Linked DNA regions of Mus musculus. Each later gene encodes a partner of the first gene's protein in a complex. Links are inferred from orthologs where the notes say so. Each region holds a gene or a part of one and is shown in the gene's direction. Other genes may lie near its edges. The genes, in order: Polr2e, Polr1c and Taf1c.

What was found.
Region 2: Polr2e (region 1) and Polr1c share a complex: the UniProt entries of both Homo sapiens proteins name them as parts of the pol I pre-initiation complex. The link is inferred for Mus musculus from reciprocal best matches to the Homo sapiens genes POLR2E and POLR1C.
Region 3: Polr2e (region 1) and Taf1c share a complex: the UniProt entries of both Homo sapiens proteins name them as parts of the pol I pre-initiation complex. The link is inferred for Mus musculus from reciprocal best matches to the Homo sapiens genes POLR2E and TAF1C.

The regions. Positions count from the first base shown.
Region 1 is NC_000076.6:80,037,287-80,041,035, reverse strand, and holds the start of Polr2e (DNA-directed RNA polymerases I, II, and III subunit RPABC1), read left to right. Parts: upstream 1-1,376; 5' UTR 1,377-1,396; coding exon 1,397-1,453; intron 1,454-2,422; coding exon 2,423-2,597; intron 2,598-3,651; coding exon 3,652-3,749. UniProt on the Homo sapiens protein: DNA-dependent RNA polymerase catalyzes the transcription of DNA into RNA using the four ribonucleoside triphosphates as substrates.
Region 2 is NC_000083.6:46,245,503-46,249,251, reverse strand, and holds the start of Polr1c (DNA-directed RNA polymerases I and III subunit RPAC1), read left to right. Parts: upstream 1-1,206; 5' UTR 1,207-1,288; coding exon 1,289-1,357; intron 1,358-1,451; coding exon 1,452-1,523; intron 1,524-3,037; coding exon 3,038-3,145; intron 3,146-3,503; coding exon 3,504-3,636; intron 3,637-3,749. Other genes in the region: protein YIPF3, read right to left, coding at 1-73, 214-411, 924-1,004. UniProt on the Homo sapiens protein: DNA-dependent RNA polymerase catalyzes the transcription of DNA into RNA using the four ribonucleoside triphosphates as substrates.
Region 3 is NC_000074.6:119,599,728-119,602,242, reverse strand, and holds part of Taf1c (TATA box-binding protein-associated factor RNA polymerase I subunit C), read left to right. Parts: exon of another isoform or gene 1-356; intron 357-462; coding exon 463-701; intron 702-810; coding exon 811-927; intron 928-1,014; coding exon 1,015-1,132; intron 1,133-1,220; coding exon 1,221-1,292; intron 1,293-1,446; coding exon 1,447-1,582; intron 1,583-1,671; coding exon 1,672-1,809; intron 1,810-2,252; coding exon 2,253-2,427; intron 2,428-2,515. UniProt on the Homo sapiens protein: Component of the transcription factor SL1/TIF-IB complex, which is involved in the assembly of the PIC (pre-initiation complex) during RNA polymerase I-dependent transcription.

The DNA.
Region 1 (3,749 bases):
AGAAACGTCTTTGCCCATGTCCCCTTCCTTTGCACACTCATGGCTTCTTTGGCCAACTGTAGCAGCCTAAGCCCCTTGGTCTACAGGGTAGATGGTGGGCTCAGTGTACTTGGCAAAAACTTGTCTTTCCCAGTTGGGATCAGCCTAAGTTCTCAGGCAGGAACTGGTGATGATCTGTAGATGAGCTGTCAGACGCACATCAGGACAGAATGGAGGCATCTGGACTTCCAAGGACAGACCTTGCCAGTCTTGGTGGCACACGCCTTTAATCCCAACACTGAGAGGCAGAGGCAGGCCATTCTCTGCGCTGTTGAGACCTGGTCTCTATACCAAATTTCAAGTCAGCACACTCCCCCAAAGAAAAGGAGAGGGCTGGTGAGATGGCTCAGTGGGTAAGAGCACCCGACTGCTTTTCTGAAGGTCCGAAGTTCAAATCCCAGCAACCACATGGTGGCTCATAACCACCCATAATGAGATCTGACTCCCTCTTCTGGAGTGTCTGAAGACAGCTACAGTGTACTTTCATGTAATAAATAAATAAATAAATAAATAAACAAATAAGAAAGAAAGAAAAGGAGAAAGGGGCGTTCCTGTGAACTCCCATTGTATAGTTGGAAGGGTTTAGCCCTGGAATCCCTTTCCCTAGGATTCATTTTCTCACCACCTTCTCAAACTTTTCACGAGTTAGCCCACCATATACACACTTGTTTGTTCATTGTGTGTATGCCCGCACATCGATTGTTTTCATTTTAGATTTTTAGTCGTTTAACTATGTTTATCTGTGTGTCTGCATGTGGGTATAGACCTGTAAGTGTGGCCCTTGGAGGCCAGAGGCATCAGACTCTCTGGAGCTGGAGTTACAAATGGCTGGGGGCCACCTCATGTGGGTGCTTGCATCCGATTTCTCATGTAAAGTGCAGATACACTAATAAAAACTTGTATAAAAAGGGAAATTGAGGCACATGAACCTGGCTGTTCATCACTGGTCTCTTGCTTTCTTTCGAGACAGGGTTTTCTCTGTAGACCTGGCTATAGAGCAGGCTGGCCTCGAACTCACAGATCTGCTTGCCGAGGACGGGGATTAAAGGCGTGGACTACAGCCCGGGAGACGCCTAAGGGAGGGAAATAAAACTGTTATCAGGTCAAGTATCGCGAGATCTTCCCGACGCGCGACACCGCCCCGGTGAAGGCTGGGGCTGCCCAACGCGCAGCCTGTCGTGGAAAGTAGGTTTATTCCGGCGTTCACCTTAGACAGCACGAACCTGGGCGGGGGCCTTCCCAGCCCTTGGCGCAGGCGCACTGCCGGGGGGCGGGGGGCATTTTGTGCGTCCGGCGCAGGCTCCGTGCTGGCAGCTCCACGAGCGCGCGTGCACAGTTGTTTGGGAAGCGCGACAGCATGGACGACGAGGAGGAGACCTACCGGCTGTGGAAGATCCGCAAGACGATCATGCAGGTGATCAAGCGTGAGGAGCTTTATGCGAGCGAGCGTTCAGTTGCGGACTAACTGCGGGTTGTCCGCCGAGGCCCGCCTCCCGCAGGGGCCAATCCTCCTGGATTGGAATGCATCCCCGTTTAAAGTGTGGAGCCCACCCACGCTGGCTTCAACTCTTAGAAATCCTACTGCTTCCACCTCCTAACTCTGCCTCAGGGGAAAAGGCCTGGGTGGGCTCCGTTTCGGGAGAGGGGGCTGCTGCGTGGTCACACTTGGTTTTATGCGAGCTAGGTAGCCGCCCACACGAAAGCTATCAACCATCTGTAACCCCAGTTCCAGGGGATCTGACGCCCTGTCCTGATCTCTGGGGACTCCAGACACACATAGGATGAAAAAACAGTATTTTTAAAAACAGAACAAGCCGGTATGATGGTACACGCCTTTAATCCCAGCACTCTGGAGGCAGAAGCAAGCGAATCTCTTTAAATTAGAAGTCAGCCTCATCTACATAGTGATTTCCAGAATAGACAAAGTCACGCAGAGAAACCCTGTCTTGAAAAAGAAAAAGGGAATAAAAGAAAAAATTCTTGGTTGTTTTGAGTTGAACACATGAGACACCATTATTAGATAAAGAGGTATGCATAGTTTTGACTTATGCTGTGTTGGTGGAGCCCAGGGCCACCTCATGCCTGTTCCTCAGCCCTGATCCTGGATGATGCTCTAGTCTCCCTCATCAGGAACACTCAAGACTGGGGACAGGAAGGTGCCTGTATTCAGAAGGTTGCCTACAGTTGCCAGGGGATTAATCCCAGCCTGCTCCACTGAGGTTGGGGGGAGGAGAGGCTTGGCCGGGCCGCTGTGGTCTGAGCCTATACAGAGTTTGGGTACTGCTGGATCAGTTCAGTGTTAGTCCCCAGCCTCGGCCATTCAGGGTCAGGTCTGCGAGCTAAGTGCTCAGGCTGACTGCCTCTTTGCCTCTTGTCTCTGCAGCTGTGTCATGACCGTGGCTACCTGGTGACCCAGGATGAACTGGACCAGACACTTGAGGAATTCAAGGCGCAGTTTGGGGACAAGCCCAGCGAAGGACGGCCAAGGCGCACAGACCTCACGGTGCTGGTGGCCCACAACGATGACCCCACAGACCAGATGTTTGTGTTCTTCCCAGGTGAGGCCCTTGGGCTGGCAGGAGTGGTCTCCTCCAGGCCCTGGCTCAGGTGCCAGTGAATGCATGTCCCACTCTGGCCTAACGCTGCCTGTAAGATTGTGGCAGCTGCCTGCTTTTGTCCCTGTCTCCCCTGGGAAGCCTCCCTTTTGCTGGTGTCGTTTTCATCCCATAAGCCCCAGAACCAGCTCTCAGCCCTCCACCCCCTGGCTCCTATATGCTGTATTCTATAGCTTCTGCCTGGGAGTCCCAGGGCCAGCTATGCCACCCCCACACCCCCTGTGTGCTGTATTCTACAGCTTCTGCCAGCAGCGCAGGTGTCTTGTGGGAGTGAAGGCTATTGGGGAGCCCAGGACCTCCCTGTGCAGCTACATTCAGTCTCCCCAGACAGCTTGCCTCTTTTAATACCTAATGCTTTGTGGCCCCGGGACCTGGTTTTTAGTGTGAGAATTGGGGGGTGCGGGGATGGGCATGGTAGCATATGCCTGTAAGCCCAGTGTTTGAGAGGCAGAGGCAGGCAGTCGAGGCCAGCCTGGTCTATACAATGACTTCCGGGACAACTATGGAGGGCATTGGTTCTCAGCCTTCCTGATGCTGGGACCCCTTAGTACACTTCACATTGTGACCTCCAACCATAAAATCTTCATTGCTAATTCATAACTAATTTTGCTACTATTATGAGTCATAATGTAAATATACCTGTGTTTATCCAGCAATTTGCAAACTAGGTGGCCTGGGTCTGCTCCTGCGCTCTGCCTGAGGAGACAAGGCTAGCCTCATGTAGACACAGGGTCCATCTCTTGGTCAGTCAGTTTCTCCTTGAGGCTGTCTAAGCTGACAGTACCATATCCCCCAAACCCCAGAGCTGCTGAGAGCCCCCACCCCCGTTCCAGGGGGGCCGCAGTTCCTGCATACCCTGCAGCTTCTGCAGTGATAGCTGAGCCCCCTGGCAGCCCCATCATGGCTGCCTTGATGTTCTAGTCTTCCCTTGCAAGCAGAGAAACTAAGACCACAGGCTCCAGTAGTGAGTGTGAGGGTGGTGCTTGTGTGCCCGCAGAGGAGCCCAAGGTGGGCATCAAGACCATCAAGGTATACTGCCAGCGCATGCAGGAGGAAAACATCACACGGGCGCTGATTGTGGTGCAGCAGGGCATG
Region 2 (3,749 bases), on another chromosome or scaffold:
AGGGTCTGAGGATGTCAATGTTGGCATACAAGCTGAAGGCCCTGGAAGCCTGTCTCTTCCCTGCCTGCCACATCTGAAGGGAAATGGGTATGATGAGACTCTTGGCTCTAGATTGTTATTCAGTCTCGGCGAGATTTACGTGTGGGTCTAAGTGGAAAACCTCGATCAATTTAGGACATGCATAGGTCCTTTTTTTTTTCCCCATTGGCTTACCTGATCTGCTACCTGCCGGCTCAGTTGTCCTTTAAAGCCTTTCATGCCAAGAAACTCCCCATCCTCTTCTTCTGCAGCAGCTGCATCAGCATCTACTTCTTCCTCCCGCAGGCGCTGGTGCAGCTCACCCATGTCCTCGAAGCTGGAGCCTGAGGTATCGTCCATGTTCTCCATATCAATCACAGCCGAACCCCCACCCTGTGAAGACAACGGCTCGGAGAGTGAGGGGCCCTTCCATTGCATCCTCCCCGTTCTCCGCTCAGCTGACAACTTGAGGCTTTGATCTTCCACTGCCGAGGACATGGCTTGGAACTGCCACTCTTTCAGTGGTGGCAACTCTTGGTCGCGTCACTTTTGTGGTCCTGGAAACCCTACTATTTATTTTCAATCCACGTTGTTTTCCTACTTTCCACCTCAAAGCTCCAAAGAGTTGCAAAAGAGCCCATCTGCCATTCCCAATTCTCAAACAAGCCTATTTTTAGGGGGTGCCAGTGGATCCTAGCCTCCAGCCCCCACAGAGAGCCGAGGCCCGCGGGAGCCCTAGTTTGTCCCTTTCACGCCAGCACAAGAGCTACACCCTTCCCCGGGAAGACTCAAAGGGGACAGGCTGCGTTTCAGCGGAGCCGACCTCTAGGCCCCGCGAGAGAGAACAGCAGCCACCGTCCGGACGCCGCCAGCCCGGGGCTGCTGGCAGCAGGCGCGCTCCATACCTGGATGTTTTCTTCGAAGCCTCCCCATTCCGGGCCAGCACCATTTCGGACGCCGCTGGCCGGCGCCGCCGGAGTCGCCATGTCCCTCGAGGCTTCCCGTCGCTGGAGCACGCGCGCGTGGGAAGAGCGTGCGACCCGGGTCCGAGGGAGGGAGAGGTTCAGAGGGGCGACCGCCCGGGCAAGGTGGGGATCCGCCGGGACGCCGAAGGGAGAAACCCGGATGTTTGGCCCCACTTGACGTCCGGAAGTGAAGGACGTGGACAGAGGCGGGGCAAGATCTCGCGACATTCAAGATTGCGGGAGCCCGAGCGTTGCTGCGGAGACGCAGGCGCGGACTCGCCTCCTTTTACAGCGAGTGGCGGAAGATGGCGGCGGCTCAGGCGGTGGAGGAGATGCGGACTCGCGTGGTTCTCGGAGAGTTTGGGGTTCGCAATGTAAGAGATCGGGGCGCGGGAAGGATGAGGGCGGCACGGGGAAGTAGAGGCCTGGTGTGAAGGCTGGCCACACTGCCCTTTCTGTTGGCTCTAGGTCCACACCACGGACTTTCCCGGTAACTACGCCGGTTATGATGATGCCTGGGACCAGAACCGCTTCGAGAAGGTGGGTAGAGCTGAAGGTGCCCAGTCGGCCCGAGGGGCCAGACCTCGCAGGTTGGGGTGGGGGTCGCTGTTTCCATACAACACGCTTGAGCTCCATGGACGGGTCAGACACGGTGGTTGCTCTCGGTGGGATAATGGACCACACAGACAAGTTATTCCAGAATAGTAAGATAGCGGTGAAGATGGCTGGGATATGGTCAGGAATCATTGATGCACTGAATCCAGCTAACTGAAGGGACGTAGTTAAAGGTCAGTGAAGGGAATGGCATTTGAATTAAGCTTTGAACTATGAATAAAAGTTGAGTAGTGAAGGCCTGATTGGAGCTTCATTATATATGATTTTTTTAAAATTCACTTTGAAACTGTTTCTGTTTAGCCCTGGCACTCTCTCTATAGTCCAGGCTGGACTTGAACTCAGCCATCTACCTGCTTCTGTCTCTGCCTCCCATGCACTGGGATTAAAGGCATGAGCCACCACGCCCAATTTAGAATTTTTGAGTAGACTGATAACATTTTGCAATCTTGATAGCCAGGAGGGAATGAATTCTGGTGAATCTGCCAGCTAGTGTATGCAGGCTGAAATTGGGGGCATAGATGAACTCCAGACAGTACTAACGGAGTAAGGCAGGGAGAACTAGACGATTTGCACCAGTGCTCTGGGGAGGCAGTGTGTGAGAGAAAGGACTTTGTAACTTGAGGACCCTAAAACTTTCTTGATATGCGTGTTTGCCTGCATGTGTATTTGTGCACCACTGTGTGTTAGTGATCCCTGCAGTGTGAGGAGAATGTTAGGTCCCACCAGGTGCTGGGAACCAAACCCAGTTCTTCTGCAAGGGCAGTTAAGTGCTCTTAATAGCTGAGCCATTTCTCCAGTGGCACTGGGGAACTGTTGCTGGCTGTGTCGTTTGCCAAGCAGGAGAACAAGAATGAGGGTACACTCAGGTGCCTGCTTGTGAAGTCTATGTGCTTGCTTGAGCCAGGAGCATGGTGGAGGTCAGCCAGGGGATTAGAACCTAGGAGACAGGAACGTTTACTGTGTGGGTGGAAGGGGAAATTTAGAAAGAAGAGCAGATAAGGAAATTGGTGTTCAAAATCCAAGGGAATGTAGTTGAGAAAAGTAGGTATTAAAAAATAACGACAACAGACATGCAAGTATCAAACGGTCTAAGTAGTGTGGGAAGTTCTGCTTTTTGTATAGTAACTTCTCTGGGTGGTTTGTGGAAAATCTGGGAAGATTGGGCATAGTGGCGCACACCTTTAATCCCAGTACTTGGTAGGCAGAGGTAGGTGGATCTTTTGAGTTTGAGGCCAGCCTGGTCTACAGAGTTCCAGGACAGCCAGGACTACATGGAGAAACCTGGCCTTGGAAAAACCTAAAAAACAAGAAACACACAGCCTTGCCCCCAAGAACAGGACTGGAGACAAAATGTCTACTGAGCACCATGACTTTAGGGTGAGGGGATAGTGCAGGGTAGGAGCCAGGCAGGAGTCATGCAGGAGCTTCCCTCCTTCTAGAATTTCCGTGTGGACGTGGTGCAAATGGATGAAGACACGCTGGAGTTCGACATGGTGGGGATTGATGCTGCCATCGCCAATGCTTTCCGGAGAATCCTGTTAGCTGAGGTATTAGAGGACGTGGGCTGGAGGGTAGAAATTGTATCAATTTGTAGACGCTTTTCTCAAAGCCATCCCTCTGGGGCAGGTAGGGTGGTTCACACCTATGACAGTCTGGGCTACATAGTAAACATTGTATCAAGAATCTGAGCCACACGCCTTTAGTCCCAGCACCCCAGCACTCGGGAGGCAGAGGCAGGTGGATCTCTGAGTTCCAGGCCAGCCAGGGCTATACAGAGAAACCCTGTCTCAAAAAACCAAAAAAAAAAAAAAGAATCTGAAGGGCAAAATGAAAAAGTGCTGCCTCTTCCTTTTCCAGGCAGGGGGATGGGTGGAGGTCAGTTGTCTGCTTTGCCTCCTTGGGCAGGTGCCGACAATGGCCGTGGAGAAGGTCTTGGTGTATAACAACACGTCCATAGTCCAGGATGAGATCCTTGCTCACCGCCTGGGGCTCATCCCCATCCTCGCTGATCCTCGTCTCTTTGAATATCGGAACCAAGGTGAGGCTGAGAGCTTGGGATTATGAGTTAGGCAGAACTGACCTGGAATGCATGGGCTCAGGTCCCAGGCCTACTGCTGGGGCTTTAGTTGGCATCTTGTACATCTGCCTTCG
Region 3 (2,515 bases), on another chromosome or scaffold:
CTATAAGACTAAGCGGGTGCTCCCACCCAATTGGAAATATGAGTCATCCACAGCCTCTGCTCTAGTGGCATAAACGCTGTTGTGTGCACAAGCAATAAAATCACTTTGAGTAAAAAAAAAAAAAAAAAAAAAAAAAAAACCTTAGGCGTGGCTACATCCAGGTGTTCGGAGTGTTGACAGGGCTCTCTCGTCCACTTCCATCCCTCTGTTTGACCTGACTCAAGCAGCAACAGGATGGCTACTTGTTCCAAGGGAAGAGTCAGTTTCCGAGCTACCACACAACCCCCAGAAGTCTATGGTTGCCTTGACTGGGAACATCTGCGAGGCACTTGCTAGGAGGCACCGAGATATTCAAGGTTTGGGGTCCAGGAACAGGGAAGGGTATATTCTAGGCAGCTAAGGAAGAGGTTCTCTGCGTGTCCTTCACTGTCCCAGTGTTATCCTCTGCTGCTCTGTCCCTAGGTGTCCCTGGGCTTCCCTCAGCCGCCGGCTGCGTCGCTTCTCCATCGTTGGGGGTCCTGTCCTGAGCAGGTCAGTGTCACTACTCATGGGGAAGCTACTGCATGAAGAGCTGGCCATGCGCTGGGAGCAGCTGCTGATGGATGAGGCCTTCACCGGGGGCGCGTTGGCCTGGCTGCCCGGAAGGACAGCGCGGGCCGGACAGCTGGTCTACCCTAGTGGAGGTGCCTTGGACAAGCTGTGTATCCTTTCTCACTTGGTGGGGATGCTGACACCATCCACAGGGTGGGCCAGGAAAAGAGTGAGCCGGGGCAACCAGAATCTACCCCCAGTCCTTAATCAGGGGCTCAGATTTCCAGGAGGTCAGTGTGACTTCAGGTGGCAACCCCCGGATCCTTGAGAACCCTGGGCACGTCCAGCTGCGGGGACCTGTACGGCAGGTGGTGACCAGCACCGTCCAGGGAGAAAGTAAGATTTCTTCACTCCCTCTTCCTTGTGCAACCATCACCCTCCTACACACACACTCCGCAGGCCTGACCTCCCTGTCCCCCCCAGCGCTTCTGGCCGTCCGCTCTGACTATCACTGTGCCACGTGGAAGATTGATAAGCAGGGGCCACCAGCACTCCTGCAGGTGATGCAGGTGGAGAAAGGGGCCACTGGTATTAGCCTCAGGTAAAGGATGTGGGCTTCCCGGTGCGGACAAGGGTCTGGGAGAAGGGCTGCATTGCTGGCTGATAATGCAGCACCCTGTGCTCTGTAGCCCTCACCTGTCAGGAGAGCTGGCCATCTGCAGCCGTTCCGGAGCTGTTTGTCTGTGGACCCCACAAGCTGGGTAACTACTCTTCCCCAAACCTTCCGTTCTAAAGCAGAACCGCGGCCTTCCGCTCCATGGCCCTAGTCTCCCTTCCCTCTAGCCCAGCCCCTCAACACCCTTGCGCCCCCAGCCCCCACCAGGCCCACACTCATGGCCTGCCTTCCTCCTCAAGGCTGCAGACGATCTACAAGGACACCGAGACGCTTGCCTTCCGTGATCCGTCTCCCTGGCGCTGGGCAGACTTCACTGCCCACCCCCGGGTGCTGACTGTGGGGGACCGCACGGGTGTGAAAATGGTTGACATTCAGGTATCGGTTGAGAGGGTGAGGAGAAGCAGGAGGCGGGAGGCCCATCTCCAGCCTGAAGACTCAGGCTGAGCATGCTGTCCTTCGTCTAGGGCCCACCGGGCTGTGGGCTGCTGCTGTTCCGCGCTGGAGCAGAGGCTGCCTGCCAGAAAGGAGAGCGGGTGCTGCTTGCCCAGTACCTAGGGCAGCCAGGTCAGACCCCTCCATCTCTGCATCTCATCTGCACCCAGGTGAGCGGCAGCCTTCTTTCTCCTTGGGCTCTGATCCAGGCTTCACCAGAGCTTCGGCCAGCAGGCCTGAGGCACAGCCACAGGAACCCAGGAATGATGGGTCCCCGTGCAGGTGGTCTCCCTAGAGGCAGGTGGAATGGGTCATCTGCAAACCTAGATCAGGAGCTGGGAGGCAGCAGAGGTTGACTCTGGCTCAGGACCCCAGTTGGTGCAAGTGTCTACTGTTGGGAGTGTAGGGATGGATGTCAGGGACTTCTGAGAACCCAGCCCAGAAAATACATGTTTTAGGTTGGGTAGGCCAAGTTGGGCGGGACTTGAAGGCTGGTGGGGGTGCCGTCTGTCCTCTGGGTGTTGGGCACCTCCTGCAGGCTGTGTGGCCTGGAGAGGGTTATTGGAGGCTGGTACCAGGTATCCACTAGTCTCACCTTTCTCTTCTTCCTCAGTTCTCGATCTACCTGATGGATGAGCGCCTCCCCCTGGTGCCCATGCTTAAGTGGGACCATGGCTTGCCATCTGCTCCCCTGCTTGCCCGCCTGCTACCCCCAGCTAGCCCTGGCCATCCACGGCCCCTGCTACTGGGGGGCCAGGGTGGGCAGCTGCAGCTGCTTCATATAACAGGTCAGCCAGGCAGGTGGGGGTAAGGGGGCCGGGTGGGGGCTCGTGGGGACATGCTAGTGCTGGGACTGGTGTGCCTAGCTCTCTGTCC